Callithrix jacchus: one gene and its partner. The protein of the gene in region 1 purifies or fractionates together with the protein of each later gene. This does not show direct contact. Links are inferred from orthologs where the notes say so. Each region holds a gene or a part of one and is shown in the gene's direction. Other genes may lie near its edges. The genes, in order: FBXL15 and SKP1.

Region 1 (10,457 bases):
CTGGCTGGAAGTGGGTCTGATGTGGATGCTTCCAGCCGTAACTTCCGGTTGGAGCCAGGCCCAAGGGCTGGGGTGGGCCTGGGGGGAGAAACCCCACCCAGATCCCAGCTCCGACTCAAGCCCCCGGGAGCAGGTAGCCCATTCAGTGGCCTCACGCTGGCCTTTTCCACAAAGCGGAAGATGACCACAGAGCTCTGGGCCCCAGGAGGGGGCTGCCCAGTGGGTGAAGAGGGTGCCCAGGGTGACGGAGCAACATGGGGTGAGGGGGGACCACGCAGAGGTGTACAGGGTGCTGTCACACGTCCCAGTTCCCGGCCTCGAGGACCTGGACCTGCCACTCGCCGTAGCAAGGACCCTGTGCTGCCATACATGCTGGCTGGGGGACTCTGGGGCACCGGGCCTTCGGGGAGCCAGCGGCGTGGGCATCGTGGTGGGGAGATGGCACAGTCGCCTTCTGAGCAGAAGCGCATGGCACCCTGGGCCATGCTGGGGCCGGGGGTCAGGCTGGGGGGGCAGGGATGGCGAGGCCAGGCGGGGAGTAAGGGGGCTGCATGCTCTTCAGACAGGCCTGTAAGAGAGGAAGGGGAGCATGGGGTGAACTGCCAAGGAGTTAGATGGACAGGACAGCAGAGATAGGGAAGGGAAAGTTGGCTGCAGACTCTGAGTACCAGGGACCTAGCTCACCCTGGGAATATGAGATCAATGATCCCACGCCTGGGGGCTACTTCCATAGAGGCCTGAAGAGAAAAGAGTTATACACCCGGTGGGCCCCTGGCTCCTTTCCTTCTGCCTGGGGCCCTGAGCATCACCCTGGGAGGAAAGAGGAAGCAACTTCAGAAGTTGAGTGGGCTACTGGTACTTTGGGGCTACTGCTGGTATGGGGAAGTTGGTACCCCACCCTCTGGAGCAAGGGTGTCAGTCAACTGTCACCATCACACAGTCCTGTGACCCCTATAGTCTTTCTTATGGAGTCCCCTCACTCAGGGAAGGGAAACTCAGGTCTTCTGGAAGGAGAGGGAAGAAGACCAGGGGTTATATAGGGATGCTGAAGGGCTAAGAGGCACAGCATGGAGGTAGGGAGAAAGGCCTGAGCAAAGGCTCCTACCCCTGATATATGTATACAGAATGGGAAAGGGACATTCTTTTTGTTTGTTTTTGAGGTGGAGTTTCGCCCCCGCTGCCCAGGCTGGAGTGCAATGGTGCTCTTAGCTTACTGTAACCTCCACCTCCCAGGTTGAAGTGATTATCCTGCCTCAGCCTCCTGAATAGCTGGGATTACAGGTACCTGCCACCATACCTGGCTAATTTTTATATTTTTGGTAGAGATGGAATTTCACCTTGTTGTCCAGGCTGGTTTCAAACTCTTGACCTCAGGGGATCCCCTCGCCACGGCCTCCCAAAGTGTTGGGATTACAGGCGTGAGCCACCACACCCAGTCAGGGACATTCTTTTCTCCATACAGGTACAGACAGGCACACACATATACACACACATGCACACACACATACATAAGGACAACTATATCAGTACACAGTCAAACACATTCATAGGTAACACCCTCTGGCATACACAGACACAGACACACACACTGCTCAAAGACACACCCTCATGCACTCTCATAGTCATAACAAATATGTGTGTAATGGAAAGGCACATGCTTGTTTTACACACACACCATCATCAAACAGTAACACACAAAGAGGTACCCAAATATATATATATAGGCTGTTACCCTCCAGTGCACACAGAGGTCCAGGTGTATCAGACACTCAGATACCTAATACTCACAGTCACATACACATACAGATGTACATTTACACACTCAAGCAGGGACACACACCCTCCCCTCCCCCCACTAGTCACTGGGGTCTCTTGAGGGGAACCTGCACCATATTCCTCATTTCCCTCGTCCCCCAGGGGTATGACGGATCCTGTCCGGGCCAAGAGAGACCATAACCGGGTAAGGGGGCCTCTGGTGGCAGTGCAGGGGAGGGGCAGAGGTCAGGAACAGCAACCCTGCCAGGCAGGTTCTGGAAGCTCAATGGGGTCCCAGCGCATACCCAGTGCAGCCCCAACTCAACGCCACCTCAGTACTCACCGCTGCTCGCCCAGAGCTGAGACCGAGGAGAGACAGAGGAGAGGCTGGGCCCAGCTCAGCTGTGAAGGAAGCGCGGCTCCCGCTTGCTCCAGGCCCGCCCGCCTCTCAGTCCCTCCCCCTACCCCCTACGCACCGCACAGGCAACGCTAATCCCCCCCCAGCCCCCGCCCTCTCCCAGGGCCTGGAGCCCTGGAGGCTGCCAGCACCCCCTTGTCGCTAGGTCCCTGCTGGGCTCTCCCGCCAACCTAAGACCCACCCCAGACCAGGAGGAGGACGCATGAAACCCTTGCTTCTATTCCCCAGACCCTCACGTGCCCCACCCCACTTGTGTCCACGTCTCTCTCGCCCACCGCCCCTCGAGCCACACGTAAGGCCCGGCTGTACACGCGTGTCCCGCCCCAGACCCCACGCGTGTCCCTAGGAGGCTGCCACATGACCTGTTACATGCCACACGCGCTCCCGCCCCCACGAGCACGCGGCCGCACCAAGCACACGGTATGGGTGTAGACTGGACCCGCCCCCTAAATCCAGGAGACCATCAACTATGGAAAGGAGATCTAGGGAACACCCTCTTGAACCCGCCAGGGGTTTTGAGTCTCGGACTCAGGAGACCCAACCCTAACCACCCTCCCGGGATGCAGCAGGGGAATGTTAAATCAGACTTCAGGAAGAACTTCCTTGCTGCCTGAGTTAGGTGTCGTCACCCTTGCCAAGGTGTAAGAGGTTAGATGGGATGACCTCGGGACTGGAATACGTGAGGGACAGGCAACCCTTGTGCCCTTGGCCAGGGTAGAAGGGGGCCCTGCTATTTTAAGAAAGCGCCGCTCGAGTTACTATGGCAACTACTCTCCTTAGGAGGGCCAGGGCGGGCAGATGGTGACCTCGGAAGGAAGAAGGGGTCTGTTAGGGCAGTCAGGGGGCGCGAGGACGTGAGAGGCGGGGGCGCGCGGGGCTCACCGCGGGGTGGGGCGGCGCGGACTCCGCGTGGTGCTGAAGGGGACAGCGCCAGATTTGTCGAACTGCGCAGGCGCAGAGGTGCGAACAAAGAGGGGAGGGGGACGAGGCGCGCGGCCGGAGGCGATGCGTGCTCTCACGTGGCTCGATCTTTGCAGGGGTCTGTCCTCCCAGTTGTCCCCTCCCCAAGCAGGCTGAGGAAGAGGTAGCAAGCCCTCACCTAACTTGACCCCCTTTTGGTCCTTCCCCGCTGCTAGCTTCTCCCTTCTCGCTGCCTTGCGGGTTGGGGGAACGTGGAATTCTGGGAAAACCAGATGTCTGGATTCTCTATTCCCGTCTGGCTGGATTCCGGACAAGGCGTTTCCTCTCCAGGGCCTCGGTGCCCCCATCTTTAAAATGGAGTGATAACACAGACCTGTCCACCTTTCAGAGGTGCCCGAAGCAATGACGAAATAACAGACAAGAAGCAGTTTTCGTTGTGATGAACCACTGAATCGGCTGCACCGAAGTAGCGCCAGATCGTCAGCGGTGCAATGGCCCTCGCATCCTTCACATTCCCTCACACCCATCCCGTGGATGATGGGGGAAGGCACTATTCCTGGGGTTCTCATAGCGGAGCCTGGGATTGAGACGTGGGGACGCGGTGAGAGGCAGCCCAGAAGCTGAGTTCAGAGGTCTGGGGCGTCACTGCCCCAAGGCGGACCCAGCCCCAGACACTACGACTAAACCCAAGGCCAGCCAAGAAGCACAACCTCTGGAGGGCTGAGCTGAGCTCTCATTCTTCTCAGGACTCTGGACCTTTGGAGGAAATAAAAGGGACCCAGTTGGAAATAAAATTCCTTCTTCGCGCCCCCTACGTCTCTCTCCCGCGGCGGAAACGCAGCCCAAACTAAATCGAAGTGGAAGAGGCTGGATAGCTCTTCACAATTAACCAGGAATGGGAAGTTTGAGCAGGTTTACTTGATGAAAGAAAAATTATAGCCTCGCCCATTCATTCATTATTTCAACAATTACTGATTGAACACCTGCTAAGTGGCAGACAGTAAGAGCCTGGATAATTTCTCCCCGTTTTTCAAAGTCGCTAAATGCGACTAGAGGACAGAGGCGAGGTCGGTAACCTAGGAGTCCTGGCTCCGCCCCCTCCGCTTTTGGCCTTGCCTGCTCCTCCTCCCGTCACCACTTCGCTCAGAGGCGGCCACTGGCCCAAGAGGACAGCAGAAGCCAGTCAGTCTCTGATGCCCACCGCTTTCTCCAGCTTCGGGCCTGAAGCCCTGTAGCCGAGAAGGCGAGGTCTAATGTTACACCACCGGTCTGTTCCGCCTACGTTTCGGCTTCCATCCGAAAAGCTTTCAGATCGGATCCTCGGTGAGACGGTACTCGATTGAATCGGTCTGTCTCTACAGGCCAAGGAGGCGGGTTTGGCTCGGCCACTCCAAGGCCAAAGCGAGGAAAGCGTACTGCGCACGCGCAATAGACAGCCGAAGGAGCCACCGATGGAGCCGTCCGGAGGGGAGCAAGAGCCCGGAGCCGTCAGGTACCGAGCACCGGAGGGACGGAAAGAGGAAAGAGGAACCTGAGAGAAGGGAGCCGAGCCGGGGCTGGGGCCGGGGGCCGCTCTTGGGAGCTTGGGCGTAGGGGCATAACGGAGGCGGACTCGCAGGTAATAGTGGCCCCGGGATGCCAGTGCCAACGCCCCTTTACTCGCAGGCTCCTGGACCTGCCCTGGGAAGACGTGCTGCTCCCTCACGTCCTGAACCGGGTACCGCTGCGCCAGCTGCTCCGGCTGCAGCGCGTTAGCCGGGCCTTCCGGGCACTGGTACAGCTTCACCTGGCCGGGCTGCGTCGCTTCGACGCCGCGCAGGTGAGCCTGGGGCTGAAGCTCCGCCCCTGCCTGAGTTCCGCCCCGCCTCTAGGCCAGCCCCCAGCCCCACTGTTTGCCCTTCCTGACCCCCTTAGGCCACCGGAGCTGCCCGGGATGGGATCCACGCAGTAGGGAGTACTCCCAAAGGGCGAATACTGGGTAGCGACTCAGGGAATGTGGGGGTCTCCCCTGGGAGAACAGGCGGCTGCCAGGAAAGAACGGGCGCATAGGCGGCTGAGGAGTGCGGAACGGGCTGAGAGTTGGGGTGCCTCCTCGCCCGCAGGTGGGTCCGCAGATCCCACGGGCCGCATTGGCCCGGCTGCTGCGGGACGCCGAGGGGCTGCAGGAGCTGGCGCTAGCGCCGTGTCACGAATGGCTGTCAGACGAGGATCTGGTGCCGGTGCTAGCGCGGAACCCGCAGCTGCGGAGTGTGGCGCTGGCCGGCTGCGGGCAACTGAGTCGCCGGGCGCTTGGGGCGCTGGCCGAGGGCTGCCCACGCCTGCAGCGCCTGTCGCTCGCGCACTGTGACTGGGTGGACGGGCTGGCGCTGCGCGGCCTCGCCGACCGCTGCCCGGCCCTGGAGGAGCTGGACCTCACCGCCTGCCGCCAGCTCAAGGACGAGGCCATCGTGTACCTAGCGCAGAGGCGCGGCGCTGGCCTCCGCAGCCTCTCGCTGGCCGTCAACGCCAACGTGGGGGACACCGCGGTTCAAGAGTTGGCTCGGAACTGCCCAGAACTCCAGCACCTTGACCTCACCGGCTGCCTCCGCGTCGGAAGCGACGGTGTCAGGTGCCTGGGCCTGGTGGGGCGGGAGGGTGGGAGGAAGGCAGTCTCACTTAGCCTCTGAAGGTATGGTGCGGGCTGTAGTTGCTAAAAGGACGGACTGAGGGTTCTGAATTTTCCTGCCAACCACAGAACCCCCATTCTGAACAGAAAAATCCTCTAGGATTGCCTTCCGGACCCCCTTAGGCCAGAGAGCCCATAGTTTAAAAACTTTTTGAACCAGTATTTACACATTGGGAGATTTCACATAGAAAGTCGACTTCTGGCTTTTCTTCAACGAGGGGGAAACCTTGCAATTCTAGGCGGAGCTGAGGGACAGGTTCCCCCCTTAAATGAGACAGGAAGTCTCCGCCTCCCTTGAATCCAATCCAGGCGCCTCCCTTGTGTGGGACGGAAAAAGTATGCCCCTGCCCCGAACTGGACGGAGACCGGGATTTTGCCGGAGCTAGTCCGAGGCTGAGTGAGCCCGGGCCCCCACCCTGCCCCACCAAGGGTGTGGTGGCCTCTTGCCGCTAGCCTCATCCTGCTCCTCCCTCAGGACACTGGCCGAGTATTGCCCGGCGCTGCGCTCGCTGCGAGTGCGGCACTGCCACCATGTGGCCGAGTCCAGCCTGAGCCGCTTGCGGAAACGCGGCGTGGACATCGACGTGGAGCCGCCGCTGCACCAGGCCTTGGTGCTGCTGCAGGATATGGCGGGCTTCGCACCTTTTGTCAACCTGCAGGTCTGACTCTGCCAATCGGAGCACAGCTGGACTGTGTGGCTGGGGCCTGACACTGAGCGGTAGGGAAACCGAACCGTGGGGTCCTCTGGTGAGAGGCCAGTGCCCTGCCCCACCCTGGAGCTTCAAATAAAGAGCTTTTCACCCCCTTTTGCCTGGTGCTGCCCTGTCGAAGATAGAGGATTCAAGGTTTGGGAGGGAAGGTCAGATAGGCCTAGTGTCAGACAGTCTTGAGGCAGAAATGACCAGAATGCACTCACACCTTCCTTGGGCCACCTTTACTGAGCCCATGGAGGCAGCTCCGAGTAGGTTAACACTATGGAGCAAAGAAGTAGAGAATGGGGACAGGAGTTAGGGGGCCTATGTGTAGGGCTGTAGGGCTCCTGCATCCCTCTGGGATCTAAGCCTAGAAGGCCGGGGCAGAGTCCAGCAAGTGCCTTAATGGAAGCGGTACTTTCTGGCCGGCTTGAGGTTGATGTACGTGGCCTTCATCTCCTCAGCCTCAGGGTTCCGCACATCTTTGAATCGCTCCCCTTTGGTGCTGACTATCTGGTTGTCGATGTATCGGATCAGCTTCTTGGGGGCCTGTCAGGAAATCAGGCAGTGAGTGGCAGAAGCCAGGAGCCAGTCCCACCCATTCCACATCCCCAGTAACCCCAACTCTCACCTCCTTGGGAGCCATGGGCCGGTGAATCTTCTGATCCTCTGCACTATCCACCATCATGTACCTGCCAAAAACTGGCTGGATGAAGCTCTTGTCACCCTGGGAAGACCCTCTAGGGACAGCCCAGCCCAACCCAGACTCACTTCTGCAGGATGAAGGACTTCAGCTCATCCTTTTGGGGGCCTCTGAGGCGTCTAGGCAGGTCCTGCAGAGAGGGGAGGCCTGGTCTGCCCAAGGGCACCAGCAGGGGAAACAGACAGGGATAGGTAGGGGTCGGGGCTTAACACCGAGGTGGAATGTAGCCGAGGCTACATGGTGGGGGGTGCTGGGAGAAGATACCTGGTTGGAGCCATCCCAGGCTGCAGGCCCCTCCTCCTTCCCCTCTACCAGCATCTGCACAGCTTCTTCCAAGTCCCCCCGAGCTTTGGCCAGCACCCAGTGGGCCTGTTCCACCGAACAGGTAGGGAACACCTCCAGGAGTACATCCACCCCTGGCAGAAGCTCCTCCTCAGCACCAGTTGCCTAAGGGTACAAGCATTAACAAAAGGCAATACTCCCCCTTTCCAGGCCCCTGAGTCCCTCATTGCTACCCTCCTCTACCAGTACCTCATCTTGGGTGTCCCCAGCAGCAGCAGCAGCAGAAGACCTGGTCTCCTCTTTGAGCATTTCCGGCCGCTGCAGAGGCTCTGGGGAGATGGGCACCTGACCTTGGACACCAGAGCTCTGCGGTTGCAGGTTCTCTTAAAGAGGCAGAGAGAGCATCAGGTTTGCCAGCGCTCTGGGGAGTAGGGAATTGGGAGGGGTCATGAATCACCCAGGTGCCTACAGCCTCAGACTCACCTTTGTTCCTAGCATCGCTCAGCTGCCCTGAGAGCTTCTGCATCATGTCCCCTATTGTGCCCCTGAAAACATAAGGGTAGTGAGAGAAGACAACTCTACCCACCCCATAATCAGCCAGCCCCTTCCTCCTCCTGGCCCCAGCCAGAACCTACCTGGGGATGTGGGCAAAGCCAGGCACATAGGCCTCCATCATCTCAGTGAAGGCCTCCATATCGAAGTTCTCCTCTGATGGGCCTGAGGGGCCCAGGTCCTCCAGGACCCCGAGCACATAGGAGAAGATGACCTCATCCAAACCACTGCAGGAAGGGGACAGGACAAGCCCTGGGTAGGACACTGGATACCTCCAGCATCCCCACCTATCCTGAAACTCCAGCCTTCAGCTTCATGGGGTTCATGAGCTAGACCTTAATCCTTGAGGCCAAAAAGTGTAACCCCCTCTCTCAGAGCTATGGTTTCCCCTCTGCCCAACAAAGGTAACAGGGACAGGATGAGCAGGAAGGCCTCTTAGCAAATTGTAATCAGCCCTCCCACCATCTTTCCATCAGCCAGGACTCATAGCACTGCCAGGCAGCTCCAGCTGTGGCACTGACGTGAACCTTCCCAGGGAGCTGTCTCTACCTGAGGTCGGCCTCCGGGAGGTACGTCTGGACAAAGGAAAGGAGGGCTGCACTGACGATCCTCTCCAGCTCCATGCTCTCTCCTCTTCTGAAGGGACACAGACAGACAGGATGGCCAGGCCCTCTTCCGTCTGCACTCACCCACTGGACCTGGGGGCAGCAGCTCCTCCCTCCTGGCCTGCTGTGGAACCATCTGTTGATGCTGCCCTCTCTGTTCTCCCAGAACCATGCCCCCTCCCCCGCCCATCTCTTACCTCCTCCAGCCTGAGACAGGACAGGGTACTGTCTCTGGAGACAGCCTCTAGAGGAGTGCCCCCCACCTCTCCCCATCCCCCTACCCCATTCCCTAGCAGCAGCCCCAGACCTTCTGGCAAGGTCTTGAGGTCACATGCCTCCTGGCTTAGAAATCCCATAAGTGAGGGGGCCCCTTAGCCTCCAACCACAAGGAGCCCCATTGTCCAGCCCCTCAAGGAGCAGCCTCATGACCAAGCACAGCCCTTCCCCCACCCAGAACAGCCCACCCACCCTCTGCACAAAGGGGCTTTTCTGGCTCTGGGGCCCAGATAGAAGGGGAAGCCTTTTATGGATTCTCTCCTCTCCCCAGTTCCTGCCCTTCCTGCAGCCTGGGGCTATCTGCAGAGCACTTTCCATCCTCCTCTGGCCAGGCTCTCCAGCCTCCCCAGTCCTTCCTGGCTGGCTTGCTCCTGCGCCACCTTGCTGTCCCTCAGACTTGCAGAGCTTCCTCCTGTCTCTACCCACATGCTCCTGACTCCCAAACAGACTTTTGGGAGTCAAAATGATGTAGATGGGATGGAACATGTCAACAAGTATGTATTGTGCACCTACCCAGGACAGGCATTTTGTGTTCTGCAGACATCCATGGCTTGTCCAGTCACTCCTCAGAGCTCCACTCAAATGTTACATCAGAGAGCCCTTCCCTGACTAACCTACAGCAAAGAAGACTTATCGATGCCCCTAACCCTACATAGCACCGTTAGCATTATTTGTGCTTATTTGCCTATTGTCTGTCTGCCCCATAAAATGGAAGCTCCAAAGCAAGGTGGGGAGGAGGGGGACACTCTGTCTTGTTCATGCCCTAGCACCTAGAAAAATGCCCACACTAGGTGGGTGCTCAATACATACTTGTTGACATGTTCCATCCCCATCTACGTACTTTTGACTCCCAAAGGTCTGTTTGGGAGCATGCCCTTGATTTTGCTCTTTTTCACCCCTACCTGCTGCACCCAGTCAACCACCAAGTCCGTCAGTTCTACTGCCTTCTTATCCGAATTCTATCTACTTCTCCCTTTCTCAAGTCTGGCTTCTCTAATATCTCCACCAAAATTTCTTTTTGAGACAGGGTCTGGCTCTGCCACCCAGGCTGGAATGCAGTGGCATGATATGAGCTCACTGCAACCTCCACCTCCCCAGCTCAAGCCATCCTTCTGCCTTAGCTTCTGGAATAGCTGGGACTACAGACCTGTACCACCATGCCCTGCTAGTTTTTCTTTTTTTTTTTCTTTTTTTTTGTATTTTTAGTAGAGATGTGGGTTTGTCATGTTTTGAGCTCCAGGTTCGAGACCCAAACTGGTCTCAAACTCCTGGGCTCAAAGCAATCTACCCATGTTGGCCTCCCAAAGTGCTGCGATTACAGGAGTGAGTCACTGTGCCTGGCCCCAAAATTTCTTAGACCAAAATTTCCAGGTTTTGGTCTAATTAAGTTGAACCATATGAGCTTGCCAATTTTGTCTTTTTTTTTGAGATGGAGTCTCACTCTGTTGCCCACGCTGCAGTGCAGTGGCGCAATCTTAGCTCACTGCAAACTCTGCCTCCCAGGTTCAAGCAACTCTCTGCCTCAGCCTCCGAAGTAGCTGGGATTACAAGTGCCTGCTGCCACACCTGGCTAGTTCTTGTATTTTTA
Region 2 (10,093 bases), on another chromosome or scaffold:
CGGGTAGCTGGGATTGCAGGCATGCGCCGCCATGCTTGGCTAATTTTTTTGTATCTTTAGTAGAGACGGGTTTTCACCATGTTGGCCAGGCTGGTATCAAACTCCTGAACTTGTGACCCACCTGCCTTGGCCTCCCAAAGTGCTGGAATTACAGGCATGAGTCACTGTGCCTGGCCAGCATCCTTTTTTGTTTTTTCTCTAACTTTTGGTGTGATTATGACTCTGAGTATCTGTTGAAGTTTATTCATCCAGGCCCTATGAATATTTTAATTGTTAGTCTTGTACATTAGCATATTTAAATTACTGCAATACAATAGTACATGCTTAGCAAAAAGATAAAATTTTTATATTAATATTTTTCACTGAATGAGAGTGCCTTAAAAGGAGTGTAAGAATTATGTGTTTTTGTGGTTCTTTTTTTTAATTGATCACTTTACCTTGTGTTTGAGCATAATCAGTTCCCCGTATTGAATAGGATTTTAGTGTTTGAGGGCATACAGCTGTGTAATAGAGTGAGTTATTTCATTGGATGATAAAGAGCAGCCTTTTTCCACATTGGGGCAAAAACTGTCTAGACTTAGAACTGGGGATGTTCACCTCCGGTTGTCCCCTTCTTTCAGGATTTGTTAAAGGTCACTTAATGCTTTCTTAAGGACTTGAGAGATGCAGTTGCATTGCATGTTTTCCCATAGTCTTACCACATTGATTATTGTATTACCAGTCTTTTTAATTCTCCCTAGACTGGGTAAAAAGTGATTCTCTGTGCCCAGATGTTTTTGTTTGAGACAGAGTTTCACTCTAATGCCCAGATTGGAGTGCAGTGGTGTGATGTCAGCTCACTGTAGCCTCTGTCTTCTACGTTCAAGTAATTCTCTTGCCTCAGCCTCCTGAGTAGCTAGGATTACAGATGCCTACCACCATGCCCGGCTAATTCTTGTATTTTTAGTACAGACAGGTTTTCGCCATGTTGGACAGGCTGGTCTCCAACTCCTAACCTCAGGTTATCTGGCTGCCTTTCAGAGGTGCTGGGATTATTGGCATGAGCCACCATGCTCAGCCAACCTGAATTTTTTTGTTTTTGTTTTTGAGACAGGGTCTCACTCTGTTGCCCAGGCTGGAGCACAGTGGTGTGATATTAGGTCACTACAACCTCCGCCTTCCTGGTTCAGGCAGTTCTCTTGCCTCAGCCTCCCAAGTAGTTGGGATTACAGGCGCCTGCTGCCATGCCCAGCTGAGTTTTGTATTTTTGTAGAGATGGGGTTGCACCATGTTGGCCAGGCTGGTCTTGAACACCTGACCTCAGGCAATCTGCCTGCTTCAATCTCCCAAAGTGTGAATGTTTTTACGTGTATTACTGGCCATTTACATTTTCTGCATTGTCTGTTTTCATTTTCCTGTTTTCCTAATGGACTTAAAAAGTGGTAAAAATACATATGACGTTTATCATTTTCAGTTTTTAAAAGTGCACCATTCAGTGACATTAATTACACTCACAAGTGTTGTGCCGCTGTCACCACTAACCATCTTCAGAACTTTATCATCCCAAACTGAAACTCTGTATCATAACTCCGCATTTTTGTACACTCCCTTCCCCAAGTCCCCTAGATAATCATTATTCTACTTTGGGTGTCTGAATTTAGCTATTCTGGGCACATCATATATGGAATCATATAATATTAGTCATTTTGTATCTGGCTTATTTCACTTAGCATAATGTTTTCAAGGTTCATCCATGTTGTCTAATGGGCTTAAAAAATTGTGGTCAAATATACATAACAAAAGTTACTATCTTAACCATTTTCTCTTCTTTTTTTTTTGAGATGGAGTTTTGCTCTTATTGCCCAGGCTGGAGTGCAGTGGCATGATCTTGGCTCACCGAAACCTCCACCTCCTGGGTTCAAGTGATTCTCCTACCTCAGCCTCCTGAGTAGCTGTGGTTATAGGCGTGCACCACCATACCCAGCTAATTTTGTACTTTTAGTAGAGACTGGGTTTCTCCATGCTGGTCAGGCTGGTCTCCAACTCCTGACCTCAGGTGATCTGCCCACCTCAGCCTCCCAAAGTGCTAGTATTACAGGCGTGAGCCACCATGCCCAGCCATCATCTTAACCATTTTTTTTTTTTTTTTTTTTTTTTTTGAGAACAGAGTCTCACTCTGTTGCCCAGGCTGAAGTGCTGTGGCACAGTCTCAGTTCACTGCAGCCTCCACCTCCTGGGTTCAAGCAGTTCTCCTGCCTCAGTCTCCCAAGTAGCTGAGATTACAGGCATGTGCCACCATGCCCAGCAATTTTTTGTATTTTTTATAGAGTTGGGATTTCACCATGTTGGCCAGGATGGTCTGGATCTCTTGACCTTGTGATCTGCCTGCCTTGGCCTCCCAAAATGCTGGGATTACAGGCGTGAGCCACTGTGCCTGGCCATCTTAACCATTTTGAAGTGACAATTCAGTGGTATTATTTAATAGGCTTTTTTTTTTTTTTTTTTGGAGACAGTGTCACTCTGTTGCCCAGGCTGTAGTGCAGTGGTGCGATCTCACTGCAACTCCGCCTCCTGGGTTCAAAGGATTCTCCTGCCTCAGCCTCCTGAGTAGCTGGGATTACATGCGTGCGCCACCACACCTGGCTAATTTTTGTATTTTTAGTAGAGACAGGGTTCTGCCATGTTGGTCAGGCTGGTCTTGAACTTCTAACCTCATGATTTGTCCGCCTCGGCCTCCCAAGGTGTTCGGATTACAGGTGTGAGTCACCGTGCCCTGACTCTAATAGGCTTTTTATAAGAACTCTTTTAAAAAGTTTCTACCAGTTTGCTTATCTTAGTTAATTTATTTTATGATTTAGAGGGTTTATTTTATCTAGTTAGATCTCTTTTTTTTTTTTTTTTTTTTGAGACGGAGTTTCGCTGCTGTTACCCAGGCTGTGCAATGGCGCGATCTTGGCTCACCACAACCTCCGCCTCCTGGGTTCAAGCAATTCTCCTGCTTCAGCCTCCCTTGTAGCTGGAACTACAGGTGTGCGCCACCATGCCCAGCTAATTTTTTTGTATTTTTAGTAAGAGACGGTTTCACCATGTTGACCAGGAATGGTCTCGATCTCTTGACCTTGTGATCCACCTGCCTCAGCCTCCCAAAGTGCTGGGATTATAGGCATGAGCCACCGAGCCTGGCCAGATCTCATTCTTTATGATTTCTGAATATGCCTTACAAGTAACATTCTATTTTATACTAATGAAAAATGGTTCTAAAAGGATCTTTGCTTGTAGTCATTCAAATGCCAGGTACATTCAGATGCCATTCAAAAGCTGGGGGTATAGCAGTGAACCCAAAATCCTTATGGAGTTTATGATCTGAAGGGTTGGGGAAACATACAACATTAGAAATATATCAGATGGAAAAGCTATGGAGAATGAAGAAGGGAACGGGGAACATAAAAGGGTGAGTAGGTGAACAGTAAGCTATTTTAAAAATAAAGATAGGAGATTCCTTACTGAGAAGATGATCTTTAAACAAAGAAATGTGAATATGTGGCGGGGGAAGGATTCTTGGATTTGGGAGCAAGTGCAGTGACCTTAAGACAAGAGCATGCCCTGCCATTTCAGGAAAGACAAGGATTTTAGTGGAAGCTAGAGCACAGTGACCAAACAAGAAGGAAGTAGATAAAATCAGAGTTAAGGGGCTGGGTGATTTAGGGCCACTTGTGAGAATGAGAAGTGTTTGGTTTTTTGTTTTGTTTTGTGTTTTTAAGATAGGGTCTCACTCTGTTGCCTAGGCTGGAGTGCAGTGGTGCAGTCATGGATCATTGCAACTCTACCTCCCAGGTTCAGGTGATCCTCTCACTCCAGCCTCCTGAGTAGCTGGGACTACAGGCGCATGCCACCACACCTGGCTAATTTTTGTATTTTCTATAGAGGTGGAGTTTCACTGTGTAGCCCAGGCTGGTGTGGAACTCCTGGGCTCAAGTGATCTGTCTCCCTTGGCCTCCCAGATTGCTGGGATTATGGGTGTGAGCCACCACACCTAGCTAAGAAGTTTTTTTTTTTTTTTAAAGCCTGTTTGCATTGAATGTATATTGTATTTTGAATAATAATTACATGATGCCAAAACTGAAAGTGTACAGTAAAATTTCCCATCGTTGTCTCTTATCTGATGGGAAACTATTCCCCCCAGAAAGTAATGTGGCATTTTTTATTGTTTTTCTTTTTTACTGGCGCTACCCGTTGTGAACGTAGGCAGGCATTAGTTTCTTATATATCCTTTAAAGAGTTTTTTATTTTTAAATTTTATTATTTTTTTATTAGTAGTGGTAGTAATTTTTTTTTTTTTTTTTTGAGACAGAATCTCTTTCTCTCTTGCCCAGACTAGAGTGCAGTGGCGCAATCATGGTTTGCTTCAGCCTCAACTTCCTGGGCTCAAGTGATTCTTTTTTCTCAACCTTCTGAGTACCTGGGACCGTAGATGTACGCCACCGCCCCTGGCTCATTTTTGTATTTTTTAAAGAGACGGTTTCACCATGTTACCCAGGCTGGTCTCGAACTTCTGGGCTTAAGCATCTCTCCCACCTTACCCTCCCAAAGTGCTAGGATTACAGGTGTGAGCCTCCTCGATCAGCCTATTTATTATTATTATTATCATTTTTTTGTAGAGGTGGGGTCTTGCTACATTGCCTAGGCTAGTTTTGAACTTCTGGCACTCAGCAGTCCTCCTGCCTCAGCCTCCCAAATTTCTGGGATTACTGTGCCTAGCTTTAGAGTTTTTAAAATGCCCAGATAAGCAAATATTAATTGCCATTTGTTCCTTTTATATTATTGGAATACTGCTTAAGAAGTTTCATTAAAACCCTTTGCTGGTTAGGCATGGTGGCTCATAACCTGTAATCTCAACACTTTGGGAGGGCAAGGTGGGTGAATTGATTGAGTTTAGGAGTTTGAAACCAGCCTGAGCAACATGATGAAACCTTATCCCTACAAAAACAAAATAAAAAGATGAGCCAGGTGTGGTGGCATGCACCTGTAGCCCCAGCTACTCGGGAGGTTGAGGTGGGAGGATTGCTTAAGCACAGGAGGTCGAGTGAGCCATGATTACGGCACTGCATTCCAGCCTGGGTGACACAGTGAGTGACGCCTTGTCTCAAAAACAAATGAACAAAAAACCCTTGCTTGGCTTTGCCTTATTGAAACTGTTATTTCTTTCTTTTTTGTTTTTTTGTATCCTGGCAATATAATTTCTTGGCTCTACTATTTTCTCTCAGCATTGTTTATTTCTCCAACATTTTCCTATGAAAACGTTTTAACCATACAGAAAAATTGAAAGAATTACACAGTGGACACCTATACGGCCACTGCCTAGATTCTACAACTTAAAACACTTTAAGTATTGATTTTGGTCTTTATGTTGGTATGTAGGTAATCAGCTTCCTGAAACTTTATGAAGTCATTATTCTCTTATTAAGGGAACTTTGGGGCTTTTGCTGTTTTGTTGTTGCACCATATAGTCTTACAGATGTGTCTGGGGTATTTGGAATTTCCTGGTTACAGTATATGCACATATTCAGCTTTACTAAGGAGTGCTGGATTAGTATAAAATGGGTTATACCAATTTATACTCGAGTTCGTGTTTCCTTTCCACTATTGTCCAACAATTAGTATCAATTTCTTGATTTTTTTTCATTCTAGAGAAGTATCTGTAGTGTTAGTTTTGCTTCTAAGAAGTTGAGTGTTCCTTACATTTGACTACTCAGTTTTCATTTATTGCCTGTACATATCTTTAACCCATTTCTCTATAGTGACTTTTAAAATATTTTATATTCTCTAGGCTAATCATTGTTCTACGTTTTGGAGATATCCTCCAGTCATTGTCCTGTCTAACTTTTCTTTTTGCATAGAAACGTTTTTTTTTTTGAGATGGAATGCAGTGGTGCCGTCTTGGCTCACTGCAACCTCTGCCTCCTGGGTTCAAGTGATTCTCCTGCCTCAGCCTTCTGAATAACTGAAATTACACCGGCCACCATGCCCAGCTAATTTTTTGTATTTTTTTAGTAGAGACGGGTTCTACCATGTTGGCCAGGCTGGTCGCATCTATGACCTTGTGATTCGCCTGCCTCAGCCTCCCAAAGTGCTGGGATTATAGGCGTGAGCCACCACGCCCAGCTGCGTAGAAGCTTTTTAATGTGGTCAAGTATGGTACTCTGTCTACATGGCTTGCTTTTATCTAATAAGATCTTCTGCCTTCTAGGGTTATAAAGATTCTTCAAGCTTCATTTTTGCTTTTCAAGCTTGGCTGTTAATTGCTCAAGTCAACCTCTAGCTAGTTATTATCCCAACATAGAGATAAGTTGTCCCAGCAGTGGAATGAGTACCTTTGACAAAATGCCACTGAAGAATCAACTTGTTGTTGTAGGTCATTCAGTGGTGCACCCACCACAAGGATGACCCTCCTCCTCCTGAGGATGATGAGAACAAAGAAAAGCGAACAGATGATATTCCTGTTTGGGACCAAGAATTCCTGAAAGTTGACCAAGGAACACTTTTTGAACTCATTCTGGTAAGTTTTTTTGTTTTAATTTTTTAAATTTTTATTTATTTATTTATTATTATTTTTTTTGAGACGGAGTTTCGCTCTTGTTACCCAGACCGGAGTGCAATGGCACGATCTGGGCTCACCGCAACCTCCACCTCCTGGGTTCAAGCAGTTCTCCTGCCTCAGCCTCCGTAGTAGCTGGGACTATAGGCATGCACCACCATGCCCAGCTAATTTTTGTATTTTTAGTAGAGACGGGGTTTCACCTTGTTGGCCAGGAATGTCTCTATGTCTTGACCTTGTGATCCACCCACCTCGGCCTTCCAAAGTGCTGGGATTATAGGCGTGAGCCACCGCACCCGGCCTTGTTTTTTTTTGAGACGGAGTCTCGCTCTGTCGCCCAGGCTAGAGTGCAGTGGTGTGTTCTCGGCTCCCTGCAAACTCTGCCTCCCAGGTTTAAGCAGTTCACTCCACCTCCCAAGTAGCTGGGATTACAGGTGTGTGCCACCGTGCTTAGCTAATTTTTGTATTTTTAAGTAGAGATGGGGTTTCACCATGTTGGTCAGGCTGGTCTCAATCTCTTGACCTTGTGATCCACCTGCCTCAGCCTCCCAAAGTGCTGGGATTATGGGCATGAGCCACCATGCCTGGCATCTGGTAAGTTTTTTTTAACATATAAAATAGCTCTATTCCAGAGCCTTTAAATATTACTTCTTACAGATTTAAAATTTGCTAACTTCATTGACACTGAATTTTAATACTCTGAATTAAAATGTAATGCCATATTTAAATCCACATATCAGTAACACACTAAATGTAAATGGTCTAAACACAGTTAAAAGGCAGAAATTAACAGATCAAAAAAGCAAGATTAGCTATGCTGTCTGTAAGAAACCCACTTTAAGGAAATAGACACACCTAGGTTTAAAGAATGAAAGAAGGTAAACTATACTGACATGAATCAAAAGAAAGCTGGAGTGACTATGTTAAAATAGATGTGGAGGCAAAGAATATTACTAGGGTTAAAGGGGATTATTTTGTATCGTTAAGGGGATCCATTTTTTAAGAAGACATAACAATCATAAATGTTTATTTGCCTAGAAGAATTTCAAGAAGTGAAACAAAACCCAGAAGAACTCAAAGAAGTCCACAAATTTGCAGTCATAGAGCTTTCAGTACCTCTCTCAATTAATATAACAAGTAGACAGAAATCATGATAACTTGATATAACACTATTGACCAACTTAATGGACATTTATAAAACATTTTATCTATCTATATCTATATATTATGTATCTGTTTGAGACAGTCTCACTCATCACCCAGTCTGGAGTGCAGTGGTGCAGTCTCTGCTCACTGCAACCTCTCCTCCCGAGATAAGTGATTCTCCTGCCTCAGCCTCCTGAATAGCTGAGATTACAGCCACCTGCCACCATGCCCAGCTAATTTTTTGTATTTTTAGTAGAGACGGGCTTTCACCACATTGGTCAGGTTGGTCTCGAACTCCTGACTTCAGGTTATCCACCTGCCTTGGCCTCCCAAAGTGTTGGGATTACAGGTGTGAGCCACTGTGCCTGGCCTAAAACATTATATGTAACGATAGCAGAATACATATCCTTTTCAAGTGTATATTACCAAGATAGACCGTGTTCTGGGCCATAAAACAAGTCTCAGCCTGGAACAGTGGCTCACACCTGTAATCCCAATACTTTGGGAGGTCGAGGCATGTGGATCACTTGAGGCCAGCAGTTTGAGACCAGCCTGGTCAATATGATGAAACCCCTGAATTAGCTGGGTGTGGTGTCACACACCTATAATTCCAGCTACTTGGGAAACTGAGGCAGGAGAATCGCTTGAACCTGGGAGGCAGACGTTGCAGTGAGCCGAGATTGCACCACTGAACTCCAGCCGGGTGACAGAGTGAGACGGTGTCTCAAAAAGAAAAATCTCTATCATAAAAGGATTTACGCCATACAAAGTATGTTCTCTGCAATGGAACTAGAAATCACAAACAGAAAGGTAACTGGAAAAATCTGCAGCTTCTTTAAAACTAACACATTTGCAAATAACCTGTAAGTCAAAGAAGAAATAAAAAGAATTTGTATTTTGAGCTGAATAGAAATAAAACACATGAAAAATCTGTGAGATGCAGCAAAAGAAATACTTAGAGGGAAATTGATAGCATGAAATACCTATATTATTAGAAAAGAAAAGTTTCAAATCAGTGATCTAAGCTTCCACCTTAAGAAACTAGTAAAAGATGAAATTAAATACAAAGCAAACAGAAGAATTAGAATATATAAGGGCAGAAATCAGTGAAATAGAAAATAGGTAATAAAGTCAGTGAAACCAAAACCTGTTTTTAAAAATCAGATCACTAAATATAATGCTATAACTGCTTATTGAACTCTTTAAGTGTGGACAAATATTTTTGTCAAGATCTGATGTGGTATTTGTCAAGATCTGATGTGTGTCTGTACACACATACACAACAGTAGTGGCCATTAACATTTGAGCTAATACAGTTTGGTTAAGGAAGCAGAAGGATTCAGCATCATAGAGATGTAACAAAGGTCACATAAAAGTCTTTCATGGAGGAACTTATGAGTGATTTATTCTTCTCCCTTTAATAAAATTATCATTTTAAGCTTTATTAGACATGGAGTTTCAATCATTAACTTTAGATTTAGTTTAAAACATCAAGTATACTTTAAGGAAAACAACTATCTCTTTACAGGCTGCAAACTACTTAGACATCAAAGGTTTGCTTGATGTTACATGCAAGACTGTTGCCAATATGATCAAGGGGAAAACTCCTGAGGAGATTCGCAAGACCTTCAATATCAAAAATGACTTTACTGAAGAGGAGGAAGCCCAGGTAGGTGGCACACAGTTTTGTCTCTGATCGCATGCTCTTAAAAAGGGACTAAAGCCTGTAATACACCAGAAAAGAGGTGACTGTATCAAGTAGTCTTGATACTTGAGGGATACTAGGTAGTTTCTGTGTCTTAAACATACTCTTACTGTACTGTCTGTATGAGTCTAAACACTTACATGATACTGCATTTTTTTTTTTGAGATGGAGTTTTGCTCTTATTACCCAGGCTGAAGTGCAATGGCGCGATCTCGGCTTACCGCAACCTCCGCCTCATAGGTTCAGACAATTCTCCTGCCTCAGCCTCCTGAGTAGCTGGGATTACAGGCTCGTGCGACCATGCCCAGCTAATTTTTGTATTTGTAGTAGAGACAGGGTTTCACCATGTTGACCAGGATGGTCTCCATCTCTTGACCTCGTGATACACCCACCTCGGCCTCCCAAACTGCTGGGATTACAGGCGTGAGTCACTGCGCCCGGCCGATACTGCATTTTTAAGCATAAGAACAATTAGTTTTCAACAAGAGGAGCTCTTTCTTGTAAATGTGTTAACAGTTACTAGTTCTGGCATCTGCAGCTTTTTGTATAGACCATACATATCTGACTTCAGAAAAGCAGGCCCTAGAGAAGTGTATGCTAGGGCACTTGAGAGCAACTTAATGAGGGGAGGAAATGAAAAAATAGATCAGAATGATTTTGTTGACATG

What was found.
Region 2: the proteins of FBXL15 (region 1) and SKP1 purify together in Homo sapiens (affinity purification with western blotting; 10 studies listed by BioGRID and IntAct, counting the BioPlex papers as one, with this or other methods). This does not show direct contact. The link is inferred for Callithrix jacchus from reciprocal best matches to the Homo sapiens genes FBXL15 and SKP1.

The regions. Positions count from the first base shown.
Region 1 is NC_133513.1:95,410,426-95,420,882, forward strand, and holds FBXL15 (F-box/LRR-repeat protein 15), read left to right. Parts: upstream 1-4,519; 5' UTR 4,520-4,545; coding exon 4,546-4,586; intron 4,587-4,759; coding exon 4,760-4,913; intron 4,914-5,196; coding exon 5,197-5,702; intron 5,703-6,234; coding exon 6,235-6,424; 3' UTR 6,425-6,564; downstream 6,565-10,457. Other genes in the region: PSD (PH and SEC7 domain-containing protein 1), read right to left, coding at 1-485; CUEDC2 (CUE domain-containing protein 2), read right to left, coding at 6,854-7,000, 7,083-7,143, 7,223-7,284, 7,419-7,601, 7,686-7,819, 7,920-7,981, 8,072-8,215, 8,538-8,611. UniProt on the Homo sapiens protein: Substrate recognition component of a SCF (SKP1-CUL1-F-box protein) E3 ubiquitin-protein ligase complex which mediates the ubiquitination and subsequent proteasomal degradation of SMURF1, thereby acting as a positive regulator of the BMP signaling pathway.
Region 2 is NC_133503.1:74,169,336-74,179,428, forward strand, and holds part of SKP1 (S-phase kinase-associated protein 1), read left to right. Parts: intron 1-6,391; coding exon 6,392-6,535; intron 6,536-9,248; coding exon 9,249-9,389; intron 9,390-10,093. UniProt on the Homo sapiens protein: Essential component of the SCF (SKP1-CUL1-F-box protein) ubiquitin ligase complex, which mediates the ubiquitination of proteins involved in cell cycle progression, signal transduction and transcription.